3 linked regions of the Lonchura striata genome follow. The protein of the gene in region 3 interacts with the protein of the main gene of each other region in a biochemical or structural test. Links are inferred from orthologs where the notes say so. Each region holds a gene or a part of one and is shown on either strand. Other genes may lie near its edges.

Region 1 (3,744 bases), on a different chromosome or scaffold from region 3:
CCAAGGGAAGAAAACAGCTGACTCCAACATTTCTACATTCTATCCTCTTTTAAGTCTGCTGACAGGAATACTCTGGGCTACACCCACTTCATTAGAAGCGTTCCCATTTTATTTCCTGTGTCTGAAAGCCCTTGGCATTCCTTCCCCCTCCCTCTTCAGGGAGATGCCATGACCACCATCCGAAACTGTGCAGCAGCTGAAGAAGTTTGGACAGAGCTGATGAGTGGCAAGGCCTAGAGCACCCCTCGAGCTGATCCCTGTTGAGACGCAGAAGAGCTTGGCTATGGTGGAGATAATCCCACCTCTCAGCACAACAATTATGTTTGGCCAAGCACACACACATCACCAGACAGCTCCTTTACACACTGTCCAGTTGGCTGGGAAATGTAAAAATTGGTGCCATCTCAAACTGGCAAACCAAAACCACACCAACACATCCCTGGTTTCACAGGAAAGCAAAGTGTACTCTACCAATGCAAAAGCAGGTAAGTGTTTGAGCTTGCTCTAGTCATATCCACATGCCAAGCCAGCCTTTCCCTCCTACTCTCCAGAAACTCAACCCTCTCCAGGAGTCCATCTCACTTTGCCTGGGTTGATCCATCACCTCAAGAGGCATCAGCACCCACTTAAGTGCTGCCTGCACAACCTGCAGTCAAATGTCAGCTAAATCAGCCAGAGCATCTTGGGAGAAAAGGCCACCCCAGAAGCAGATTTTTGGTCTCAAGGTATTGACTGTTCCAGCAAACTGTTGTAACTTATGAGGGGTCTGAGGTGATTTCAACACTGAGACCCAGGTATGACCCCAAACATTCCTGTCCTTGACCTCCCAAATCCAGCCAGGCTCTGCTTGCCTCACCCCAAGAATGCCTCAACATTGTCCTGTAGCTGCCTACAGGTACTATCCAGAATTCTTAACTCTTTTCACATATAGATCTTGCACCTTATTATCCAGGTGAGCTGAAAAGAAACGTAAAAGACTTTCAGAGTCAAGGCAGCAGTGGGTATTTCCAGGAAGTTCCCTCAGACTGCATGGCATGTCAAGACAACAGACTGAGCTGGATTTTTTGGCCCCATCCAAGGCTCAGAGGTGGCTCGGGAGGCCCAGCAGAGCACAGGCCCAACATCAGGCTGTAAACAGGGCAGCTCAAGTGTGCTGACCCTCCACACAAAAAGCTAAGAATAGCAGATGCAAGTTGTTCCACAGCAGACTTAAAATAGTCCCTCGACATATTCTCCTTTCCAGCTTCCCTACAGGACTGGGAACAGCCAAGGTCAGAGCTGCAGCAGCCACATCCCAGGGCAGCAACTGCAGGGCAGCTGGGCTGGGCTCCCTGCAGGTCCCAGCAGCACCCCCAGCTCCTGCCCAGCCCCAGGAGCATCACCAGGAATAAGGTGCCAGCAGTTCTCCCCAGGATTTAGCAGGGCAAACCTGTTGCTCACGCTCACACCTGCACTCCTGGTGCAATCCCACCAGGATGTCACCCCCAGCTCACACTGCAGGGTCTGTCCTGCTGTGCCAGAGATCCAAGGGTGGCCTTGCTCGAGATTCCCTTACAGACAAGTCACAGAATGTCCCTGCAGCCCGTGGGCCTTGCTCAGGGCCCTACAGCACCACGGGTTTCCCTTCCCAAGGGCTGTGCTTGGCACCGGCAGCGACCCCGGCCAGTCTCAGTCACCTCCCGGGAACCCCTGGAGCTTCCACTCCCACCTCAGAGGCAGCCCAAGCACAAAATCCGATCCCACCGTGAAATCCCTTTCAGTCCTGGCGCCACACCTCCCCCAGTGCCACTCAGCTCGCAGTCAGCCGCGGCTGCGAGACGGGAGCTGGGCACAGCCGCCGCACAATCCCGCGGTACCGGCCGCAGGCGTTCGTTCCGCTGTCCCGGGAGCCGCTCCCGGGAGGAGCCTGACCCGAGCACCCACAGCGCCGCCGGGACGCCTGCCCCGAGCCAGGCACCGTCCCCTGGGCCGTGCGGCCGCCCCCGCCCGGCGCGGCTCCGCTCCCGTTACCGCCCGGCACACACCGGTGCCGCCAGGCCGGAGCAGCCGCCGCCCCGCCTCGCACCACACGCAGCGCCCCGCTAGGCCGGCGCACGGCGAGAGGCGACGGCACCCGGCCGCCCAAAGCCCCCGCCCCACCCGTGCGGTGCAGCCCCGGCATCGCCCCGCCCGGCACAGCGGCGCCACCGAGCCCCGGCCGCATCCCGCCACGGGGCCGCCCAAACGGCGGGGCCCGGCTGCCGCCCTCGGCCGGGCGAGAGCCGAGGGAACGGGTCCGCACCCTCCCGGCGGGCTCGGCCATTCGGGGCGCAAGGAGCGGCCGCGGCCGCACTCACCGCCCGTAGCGCCGCTCCCGCCGGTGCGTCTGCAGGCCCCGGGCCTCACTTCCGTCTTTACCCGTTCCGCTTCCGGCCCCGACCACCCCTTCCGCCCCGCGCCCGCCGGCCATAGGCTGTCACAGCTGCCAATCACCTGCTCCGCCCCGCCTCCACCCCGCCCCTTGAGCCGTGCGTGATGTCATGCGCTCCCGCGGGGACTGCTGGGAGTTGTAGTTCAGATGCGTCCCGGTGCCACCGGGCCCATGGGGGAGCCGGGGCGGGGCCCGGACAGGGCGGGGCGGCGGCGGACGGAGACTCAGCGGAGCCGGGGCTGCAAAAATAGAGCCTTTATTTCTCGGTGTTGCGGGGAGCGTGGGAGAGGCGGGGCGGAACGACACGAACTACAGCCGCGGAGGGGCGGCAGCGGCCGCGACCCCCGGGCAAGCCGGAGCCCCCACCGGAGAGCTCTACGGATCCTCCCCCGCCAGACCCCCGCGGGTCCCCCGGGGCTGCGCTGCCCCGCCACGCCCCACGGCCCTGGGCACAGGCGGGGCTGCCGAGCCCGGCCGGGCTATAGAAAAGGCGCCGTGGGCGACGAGTATAAAACCGTATCAAAATCCCTGCGCGTGTTCCCGGTGCGGCGTCCCGGGAGCCCCGGGGGCACGGCCCCCCCGGGCGGGGTCACCGGGAGCGGGGAGCCCCGGGCGGGATCACCCGGAGCGGGGAGCCCCGAGCGGGGTCACCGGGAGCCCGGAGCCCCGGGGAGGGTCACCCGGAACGGGGAGCCCCGAGCGGGGTCACCGGGAGCCCGGAGCCCCGGGCGGGGTCACCCGGAGCGGGGAGCCCCGGGCGGGGTGACCGGGAGCGGAGAGCCCCGGGGAGGCGCCCCCGGTGCCCGCGGGGTCAGCGGGAGCTGGTGGAGCCGGACCGCGGCTGCGGGCGGGCGCGACCCCCGGCCCCGGCCGAGCAGCCGGGGAAGGAACGGGCGGAGCGGGGCGGCAGCGGCGGCGGCTCCGAGTCCGAGCCCCGGCGGGGGTCGGGGGTGTCCCCCCGCGGCGGGCGCGGCCCCTCGGCGCCCAGCCAGGGGTGCAGGGCGGCGGCGTGGGCAGAGCGGCTGCGGACCGGGCAGCGTTTGGCCCGGGGGCTGCCGGTGGGGGAGCTGAGCGAGCTGGGGGGCACCGGGGGCGAGGGGGGCACCGGGGCAGCGGATGGCGGCGAGACGGTGGCGGGCAGACGGCAGGGACAGGCCGGGGGCTGCGGGGCGCCCAGGTGGCCCCTGAGCAGCTCCATCATGTTCTGCAGCTCCCGGCTGAGGTGAGAAACCTCCCGGTTGAGGTGGCTGATCTGGAAAAGGACAGGCAGCAGTGAGCACCGGCCGATGTCGCCGGGCTTTGCGGGGACATACACCCACCTCTGGTCCCCAGCG
Region 2 (3,744 bases), on a different chromosome or scaffold from region 3:
CTCACTCCTACCCACTCCTGCTGCCCCAGATTTCCCCTTTGCCTTTCTCTAGCAACAAATCCCATAACCATCAGCTTGTAGCGCACTACTCCTGGCTGCTCCAAATCACTCCCATGACACCCACAGAGAGTTTTAAAAACTCCAGGATACTCTGAAGGAGGAAGAAATGAAATGCAGACACCCAAATCCATTTTGTTAGGTTAATGCTAAAAAGTAGAGGCCAGGCTCCTTCCTGGCAATGTGGGGTTACATCCAGGAGCCAATAACCTACTCCCCCTCTCCAGTGCAATGGCTCCAGGCTACTCACTGGCCCTGGAGTACTGCACTGGCCTGTAGGGCTGGCAATGTGGACCACACCTCTGGTTTCTCTATTTCTCTTCATCATCCTCCCATCTAGACCCTCTATAGCCAAATGGGGCTTCAGAGCTTGTGGAGGAGCCGGTTTTGCAAACGTTGCACCGGCTGCAATTTTTTCCCACTGGGAAATTCTGAATAGGCAGGAACAGCCCAAGCCCAGGTCCTCTGCACAGCTTGAAGCCAGAAACTGTCAGTGATCCTCCTGTCTGATTCAGAGGTGCAGCCTAGGGCTGTGTTCAGAAGTGGGGAGGGATATGGGCTTACAAACCAATTTAATTCATATTTCTAACAAGGATAAGAACTTTTCTTGGGACTAGGACATGCCAGACTTGACTGATTATCAAGGAATCTATGACATACAATGCAGATTAACTAGGTCCAGGATCTACTGAGAAAAACAACTGTCAAGATTTCTTTTGGCAGATCTGAGAATGTATTTTTGAATTGCCATCTAGCTTTCAAGCAGATCAGAAGACTAATCCCTCCATTTGTTCACACAGACAAGTATGGAGTTTCCCTGCTCTAGAAATGTCTAAACTTGTTGAGAGGATTCATCTGAAGGATTCCTCTCTTTTGGGAAAACAGCATCAATCCCCACAGTAAATGAGATGTCTGTGATCAGAAGTAGAAGGTTTTCTAGGACTATGCCCTCTTAAAACAGAAGGAATATTTCACTCATTACTAAGTGACTATAACTACAGACACATCTCCCTAAGTGCTACCACTGCCACCCCATCATTTTAATGAATCTGCAGAGTAATTGCATACTCCTAGTAACACAGAGCTGCATTATAGATTTCTTTCCCTGTGTTAAAAAAAAACAAAAAAACAACAACAACAAAAAAAAATTGCCTTACAAAACCTCCAGTAAGTTTTAATGTTACAAAACATCAATAAATTATGGACATGAGGAATCTCATACCACAAGACACTTCATCTCTATAAAATTACAACATTTTCTGCTGGAGAAGAAAACAAGACATCCACGTATTCTACCACAGACGTCTCATGTTTGTACAAACCACATTTATTTTTGTCACAATGCCATTTTAAAAGTTGAAGGCAGGAATTCTAACCAAGAAAGGAGGAATGGTCACTGCCAAATTCTTTGGGTTGAACTCTCCAGTGCCCTGGCACAGCATCCTGGCAAGAACTACTCCAAGGCAAGGTACCCACTCCTGCTGGGCTAAGTGTCAACACAAATCAGAGAGAACTGGAACGTCTACTTGTGTTTGGTTTTCAAACCTTCAACTCATTCGGATGGCATGAAAGCAAATTCACTCTAAAATGCCTTCATTCATGCAGCTTCTCTGAGTGTTTATGGGGACATGTGGGCCTGAAAGCAGCCGAACTTGCACCGGGTATTTTGAGATGTTTGACTTTAAAAAAAAAAGTTGTGTACTGGAGGAGTGATGCTCTGCTGGTTACTGTCAGGAGAGGCAGTTCTGCTCCGCAGCAGTGTTTGTGCCAACTTAGTGGGCACATTTTGCCGGGAAGCTCCCTCGGTGCCGGGCAGAGAAGGGCAGGAACAGCCAAAGTGCAGAGCTAAGCACATTGTTGCTCCAGATGTGAAACGCACGCGCGAGTTCGCCAAAAAAGCGGAAAAAAAAAAAAAAAAAAAGGAATGGCAAAAAGGACGTTCCTGTAAGGAGTCGAGTCAAAGAAGGGCTGCTGAATAAAGCCAGGCAAGGAACTAAACAAAGCACCGAGCAGCACATCGGTGAGACGGGACTGAGCACCGGGAGAAGGAGCCATCCGACATCCGACACGGCGTCCCGGGGACGTGCTTGTCTCCGGGCAGCTCCCCTCCGCTGGCACGGGGCTTGCCGTGGCCACCGCCGCCTGTGACGAGCCCCCAGGGTGGGCAGCAAGCCCCCTTCCCCCCACAGGCACCGTCGGGGTGCTGGCACCAAAGGAGACCTCCGCGGGGCCACCGCCCTCGGGGGCATGGCTCTGCGCCGGCAACCCCCGCCTGGGGAGCGCTGGGGGGACCCCCCGACAGAGAGCCACTCACCGCCTCCCCCAGCCCGCTACGCCCTGCTCACTTTTAAAAAGAAACAAGACAAAAGCAAGAAGCCCCAAAGCCTCCCCCCGCCCGGTGCGCGGCTGCCAAGTTTCGGCGTGGAGGAATTTTGCGCGGCCGAGCCCCCCGCCCCGCCCGGGACCGCCAGACGCGGCGTCCCCCGGGAAGCGGGACAGCGAGGCTGGAAGCGTTCCCCGGCTTAGCGAGCACCCCGGCTCCACAGCCCCCACCTGCGAGGCGAGAGAGGAAGGAAAGGAAGGGGCAAGCGACCCGCCGGTCGCCCTTACTCACTCCAAGCAGACACACTTTCAGCTCGCGTATCGCCATCATCTGCCCGGGGCCCGGCCGCTCCGCATCCCCGCCGCTCCGCACTGCCCCGCCGAGGCGGCCCAGCCCCGCCGGGGCCGCCCCGCCGCCGGTCACATGCGCCGGCCCCGCCCCGCTGCTGCCCCGCGCCGCCGGACCGGCCGGGGGCGGGCGCGGCGCTGAGCCCCGGGCCGGGGCAGCGGGACAGCGCAGCATCGTTCGCGATGGAAGGGAGCTCTGGAGAGCAGCTGGTCCAGCCCTCCTGCCAAGCCACGGTCACCTGGAGCAGGTGAAGCAGGAACACATCCAGGTGGGGTTTGAATGCCTCCAGAGAGGGAGACTCCATGACCTCCCTGGACAACTTGTTCCACTGCTCTGCCACCCTCAGTGTGAAGTTCTTCCTCGTGTTGAGGTGAAACCTCTTGTGTTTCAGTTTATGGCCATTGCTTCTCATCCTTTCACCGGGAACGACTTAAAAGTCTGACACCATCCTTTTGGCACCCGCCTTTGAGATACTTGTATGTATTAATGAGATCCCCTTCAGTCTCTTCTGAGGCCCAGAGTCTCTTCTCATAAGAGAGATGCTCCAGAGCCCTAATAATCTTTGTGTCCCTTCGCTGGACCCCCTCCTGGAGCTCCTTGTCTTTCTTGTACTGCAGGGTAAATATTTGCTGTTGTGAGAAAAACAGTCTGTGAGAGACGGCATCCTGCAGGGGGCTGCGCATATGCTTAGTCCTACACACCATGTGCTGGGCTAGGCACGGGAAGGGGACTGCTCTGGCTGTGAACCATCTGAATCCATCTCCTTTTTCTTTCATTTTTCCTTTTTTTTTTTTTTTTTTTTTTTAAGCTTTTCCTGCTATGTCCAGAAATAATTGAAAATAGTAATTCCATTTTTTACCCAATCCTGGTAATACACACCTAATTTGGACTAAAATAGTCAATCTCAGGTTAGTAGTAGGGTTGTAGCCCACACACCACATACCAAATTTAAGTTAAACTCATCAGCTTAAGGCTAGTCTTCTGAAATCAATGAAGAAGAAGTCATAACCACTCTG
Region 3 (3,744 bases):
CTAGGTGATGACAGCATGGAGATACTAACCTCAAAAACTAAACAAGCAATGTTTCCATTATAATACTTTCCACTTTGAAAATATGTCATTCAAAGTCACAGTGAAGATGCTTTTAAAAACAGAAATTTGAACTGTGGATGAAATAGAGGTGATCAAGGTAGAGAAGTAGAATAAAAAAGAAATATTTGATGATTTGAAACTTCAGGAATCAGAAACTATAAATAATATCTTTAGCTGTTGTCTTCCTCCTTTGCAGCTTGTCAGCCAGCCTAATAAAGTAATAAAAAATGTAATAAAGAATGTAAATAATGTAACAAAGAATGCCTTTTTCAAAAAACATGCTTTTATAACTCAAGTTATATCACCATTAATGCCTAGCTCTCTGGCTAGAAAGGGTGGCATCACCTATAAACATATAACAAACCAAACAGATATGCAAGAAGCTATGTTTGAGGGACAGAAAGGCAGTGGTTTTTTGCCAGCTATACAAATGATGGACAATAAAAAGGTCAAGAGGAAGTTCCTTATTCTTCAAATACTGTATGAGAAACATGAAAGATATTAATGACTATGTTCTTTAGTAAAATATCTGACATAAACCTAAGGTTCATTTTTAATACCAAAGTACAGCAGAAGTATTTTTCACAGTCTGCCAACCAGAGTGCAAGTCAAAATGGTACATGTGTACGAGGTTGTGCATGCAATCACTATTTTTACAAAAATACCTAAAACCCCTTTTAGTATCAGGTGAATTTTTAAAAGTCTATTTTTGGCAAAAGTTATTTTCAGCAATTAAAAAGTTTACACCTTCAAAAATTTTGACATTTCTCTATTTAATTTTTAGGCAGGAAGAAGTCTGTTTCACCTTTCTTGACAATAAATTCTCCTGTAATCTCGTAATTTTCAGGAGCAACTGGAGAACAACTATTAGTTCAATCTTTTGGAAAATATGTCTTTTTCTCACACAGAAACTTTTGCATTGACTGTAGATGTGATGTCTGTAAGATGTGTTTAGCTGAATTCATACTTAGGGACAAATATCCTCTGGCACTATATGAAGCTTTTTCCTCTCACAGAAGCCTTCCTTCATGGCCTGGTGTTTCTCAGAATCAATAAACACCCAGTTAACTGCTGCCAATATTTAATTAGGTCCGTACTAAGTTTCCTGCTTGTTAGCAGGGCTTCCCATTAAGCTTCAGGAAGGAAGCTCTTCCTTGTAAACACAAAGCTCCAAATATACCAAGATCTTCACCTGCTTAGGGTCTATAACAAAAGATAATCTGACGTATGTTTTACACTGAAAAAGTTGGTGTTAGGCTTACTTTATTTCCCCTCTCATTCTTGTAGCAACGCTTCTCTGCATGGCAGGTAAGGAGAGTAAGCCAGCGTTTCCAATAAAACACTCTGTCGCAGAGGTGTTACACAGACAGCACGCTTTGGAAGCAACAGCGGATCAAACGGGGAGAGCAGCTGGTTTTCCCTCAATCCGTGAACGCCTCCAGCGTGACACGGACGCCGCTCTCCTGCGGTACGGGATCTGGAGCGCTGCCTGCCCACGGCCGGCGTGACTCAACCCTTCTGGGTGCATCCCCCAGCCGAGCCCCCGGCCGCACGGAGCCGGGACCCGCCGGCACCTGCCCCGTGCCAGCGCCTCCCGGCAGCTCCCACCCGAGCCGCAGGCCCGCCGCACGGCGACCAGCACCGGCAAAGGGATCCGGGCAAGCGAGAAGGGTCTCATAAACGAGTGTCACAACTTGGCTTCCCAAGCCCGGCAGAGCTGCCGGAAAAGCCGGTTCCTAAAACACGGGAGGCGGCCGGACGGCGGCTGCCGGGCTGGCTCTCGGCGTTAAGAGCCTGCTGCCTGCCAGCCCCTGAGGACATCACCGCAGGTCCCGGCGGCGGCTCTCCCCACGCCGGCCTTCCCTTTATCCTGCCCTCTGCGCGGGCGGCCGCAGCCGCGGCAGCGGGAGCAGGCGGCGGGCGGAGATGCCGCCGCGTTACGGAAAAAGCCACGCCGGCCAGGGCCGCCCCTCGCCCCTCCGACAGGCCCGGCCGCGGGAGCCGCCCGCCAGCACCTCCGCCCAGCCCGGGAGGCGACACCGCCCCCAGCCGGGATGGCGGGCCTGGCCCGTCCCGTCCCGTCGGGGCTCGGGCCGTCTCCCAGCGAGAGGGCGGGGGCGGACAAACTCACGGCCTCCGGGGCCGCGACGGCCCTCACCGGACCCTGCGCCGCAGGACGGGCCGGACAGGGCCGGTGGCTCCGGCTCTGCCGCGGGGAGCGCAGCTCCGAGCGCGGCCGGCACCAGGAAGCGACACCGGCACGGCGCCGGCACGGCTCGCCGCCCTCGCCGCTGGGGCGGGCCTCGCTGCCTTACCCGCTGCAGAATCCGCCTGAGCATGGTGGTAGAGCGCGGATGCCGTCGGGCGGCCGCGGCCAGGCCGAAGGGAAGCCGCGGGGCCCCGCAGGAGCCCGGCGCGGCCCTCGCCCCGTGACAGCCGCCGCGGCCGGGGAGGCAGGGCAGCCGCCGCGCTCCGCCCCGGGGAGGGGCGGGTCCCGCGGGAAGGGGCTGCGGCCACCGCCGCCGCCCGGCCGCCGGCAGCGGGGAAGGCAGGGCGGGTAGAGGTGCGGAGCGGGCCGGGGGCTGCGCCCTGATCGCTCCGCGGGGGCCCGGGCCCGGCTCCTCGCCGCAGCGGGCCCAGCGCCGCGGCTCTCGGCCTGTCCCTGCGCTGTGCCGGGTCTCCGCCGCCCCAGACGCGTCCCGGCTGCCGGGGGCAGGGCGGGGAAAGCGGAACGCGGCGCTGTCTGTGCCCTTGGCTCCCCTCGGGGCTGCCCGGGCTCCCGATAGCTGCGGGCCCCGTGCTGCTGGCGTCAGTGTGGCATCGGCCGAGGGAAGGGAGAGGACTGTGGTTTGAGCTTGCAGCTGCGGGCTCGCTGAAGGAGGCAAAGCGCAAATGCAGCGCCGTGTTACTCTGTTACTCGTGCGGCACGGAAAGTACTGAGAAATGTGCGTTCGGGGAGGGTTGTCGAAGCGAACTTGTTACGATTATTAACCTCAAATTTAATTCTGATGAAGCAGCTCCTTGCTTCAAGCCCCCAGCTGAAAAGACGACCTTGTGGTATGACCCATTAGGTGTTTTTTAAATATTAGAAAAGAACATTTTACTCACACAAATACACACATACCTAAAAAAAAAAAAAAAAAAAGTACAACACAAAAAGCATCAGCTGAAAGGAGTGATAAGGAAGTATTTACAAACAAACTGTGGGCCTGATAGTAGATAAGGCCAGGTACAGAGATGTGAAAGAAGCAAGGAGGGGAACCATAAATTCCGTAGGAATTCCACTAATTGACACAGACTTACCCACTCAAGACTGCTAAATCTCTGGATTTAGAGAAAAAAATCAAAGACACAATGAAAAAGAAAAATGGGAGGGGAAATATACATTAGAAGGGGGTCTTACATATTTCTCATCTTATGGAGCCTGTACCTCTCAAGTACCTCGGCCACTGGGGAAAGAGAGAGGGAAAATGCAGCCAGGAAATTAGGATAAAATGGAGCTGCGTCTCCCAAAAAGTTTGAGAGACCCCATGGGGAATGCCCCATAACGTCTCCCTTTATTCAAAAAAGTTAAAGGACTCCTCTGTCTCCTTTTTGGACATAAACCTCTGGTGTTTGTAGATTAATTTTCCTGTCAATTTTAACTGAGAAAGAATCAGTATCTACTGCTGAGGCAAAACCCCA

What was found.
Region 1: the proteins of EEA1 (region 3) and RAB5C form a complex in vitro, tested with the Homo sapiens proteins (2 studies listed by BioGRID and IntAct, with this or other methods). The link is inferred for Lonchura striata from reciprocal best matches to the Homo sapiens genes EEA1 and RAB5C.
Region 2: the proteins of EEA1 (region 3) and RAB31 form a complex in vitro, tested with the Homo sapiens proteins (2 studies listed by BioGRID). The link is inferred for Lonchura striata from reciprocal best matches to the Homo sapiens genes EEA1 and RAB31.

What each region holds. Positions count from the first base shown.
Region 1 is NC_134627.1:6,412,092-6,415,835, reverse strand, and holds the start of RAB5C (ras-related protein Rab-5C), read right to left. Parts: upstream 2,428-3,744; 5' UTR 2,337-2,427; intron 1-2,336. Other genes in the region: voltage-gated delayed rectifier potassium channel KCNH4-like, read right to left, coding at 3,222-3,662. UniProt on the Homo sapiens protein: The small GTPases Rab are key regulators of intracellular membrane trafficking, from the formation of transport vesicles to their fusion with membranes.
Region 2 is NC_134603.1:51,791,830-51,795,573, reverse strand, and holds the start of RAB31 (ras-related protein Rab-31), read right to left. Parts: upstream 2,779-3,744; 5' UTR 2,711-2,778; coding exon 2,672-2,710; intron 1-2,671. UniProt on the Homo sapiens protein: The small GTPases Rab are key regulators of intracellular membrane trafficking, from the formation of transport vesicles to their fusion with membranes.
Region 3 is NC_134607.1:53,448,170-53,451,913, forward strand, and holds the start of EEA1 (early endosome antigen 1), read right to left. Parts: upstream 2,508-3,744; 5' UTR 2,400-2,507; coding exon 2,376-2,399; intron 1-2,375. UniProt on the Homo sapiens protein: Binds phospholipid vesicles containing phosphatidylinositol 3-phosphate and participates in endosomal trafficking.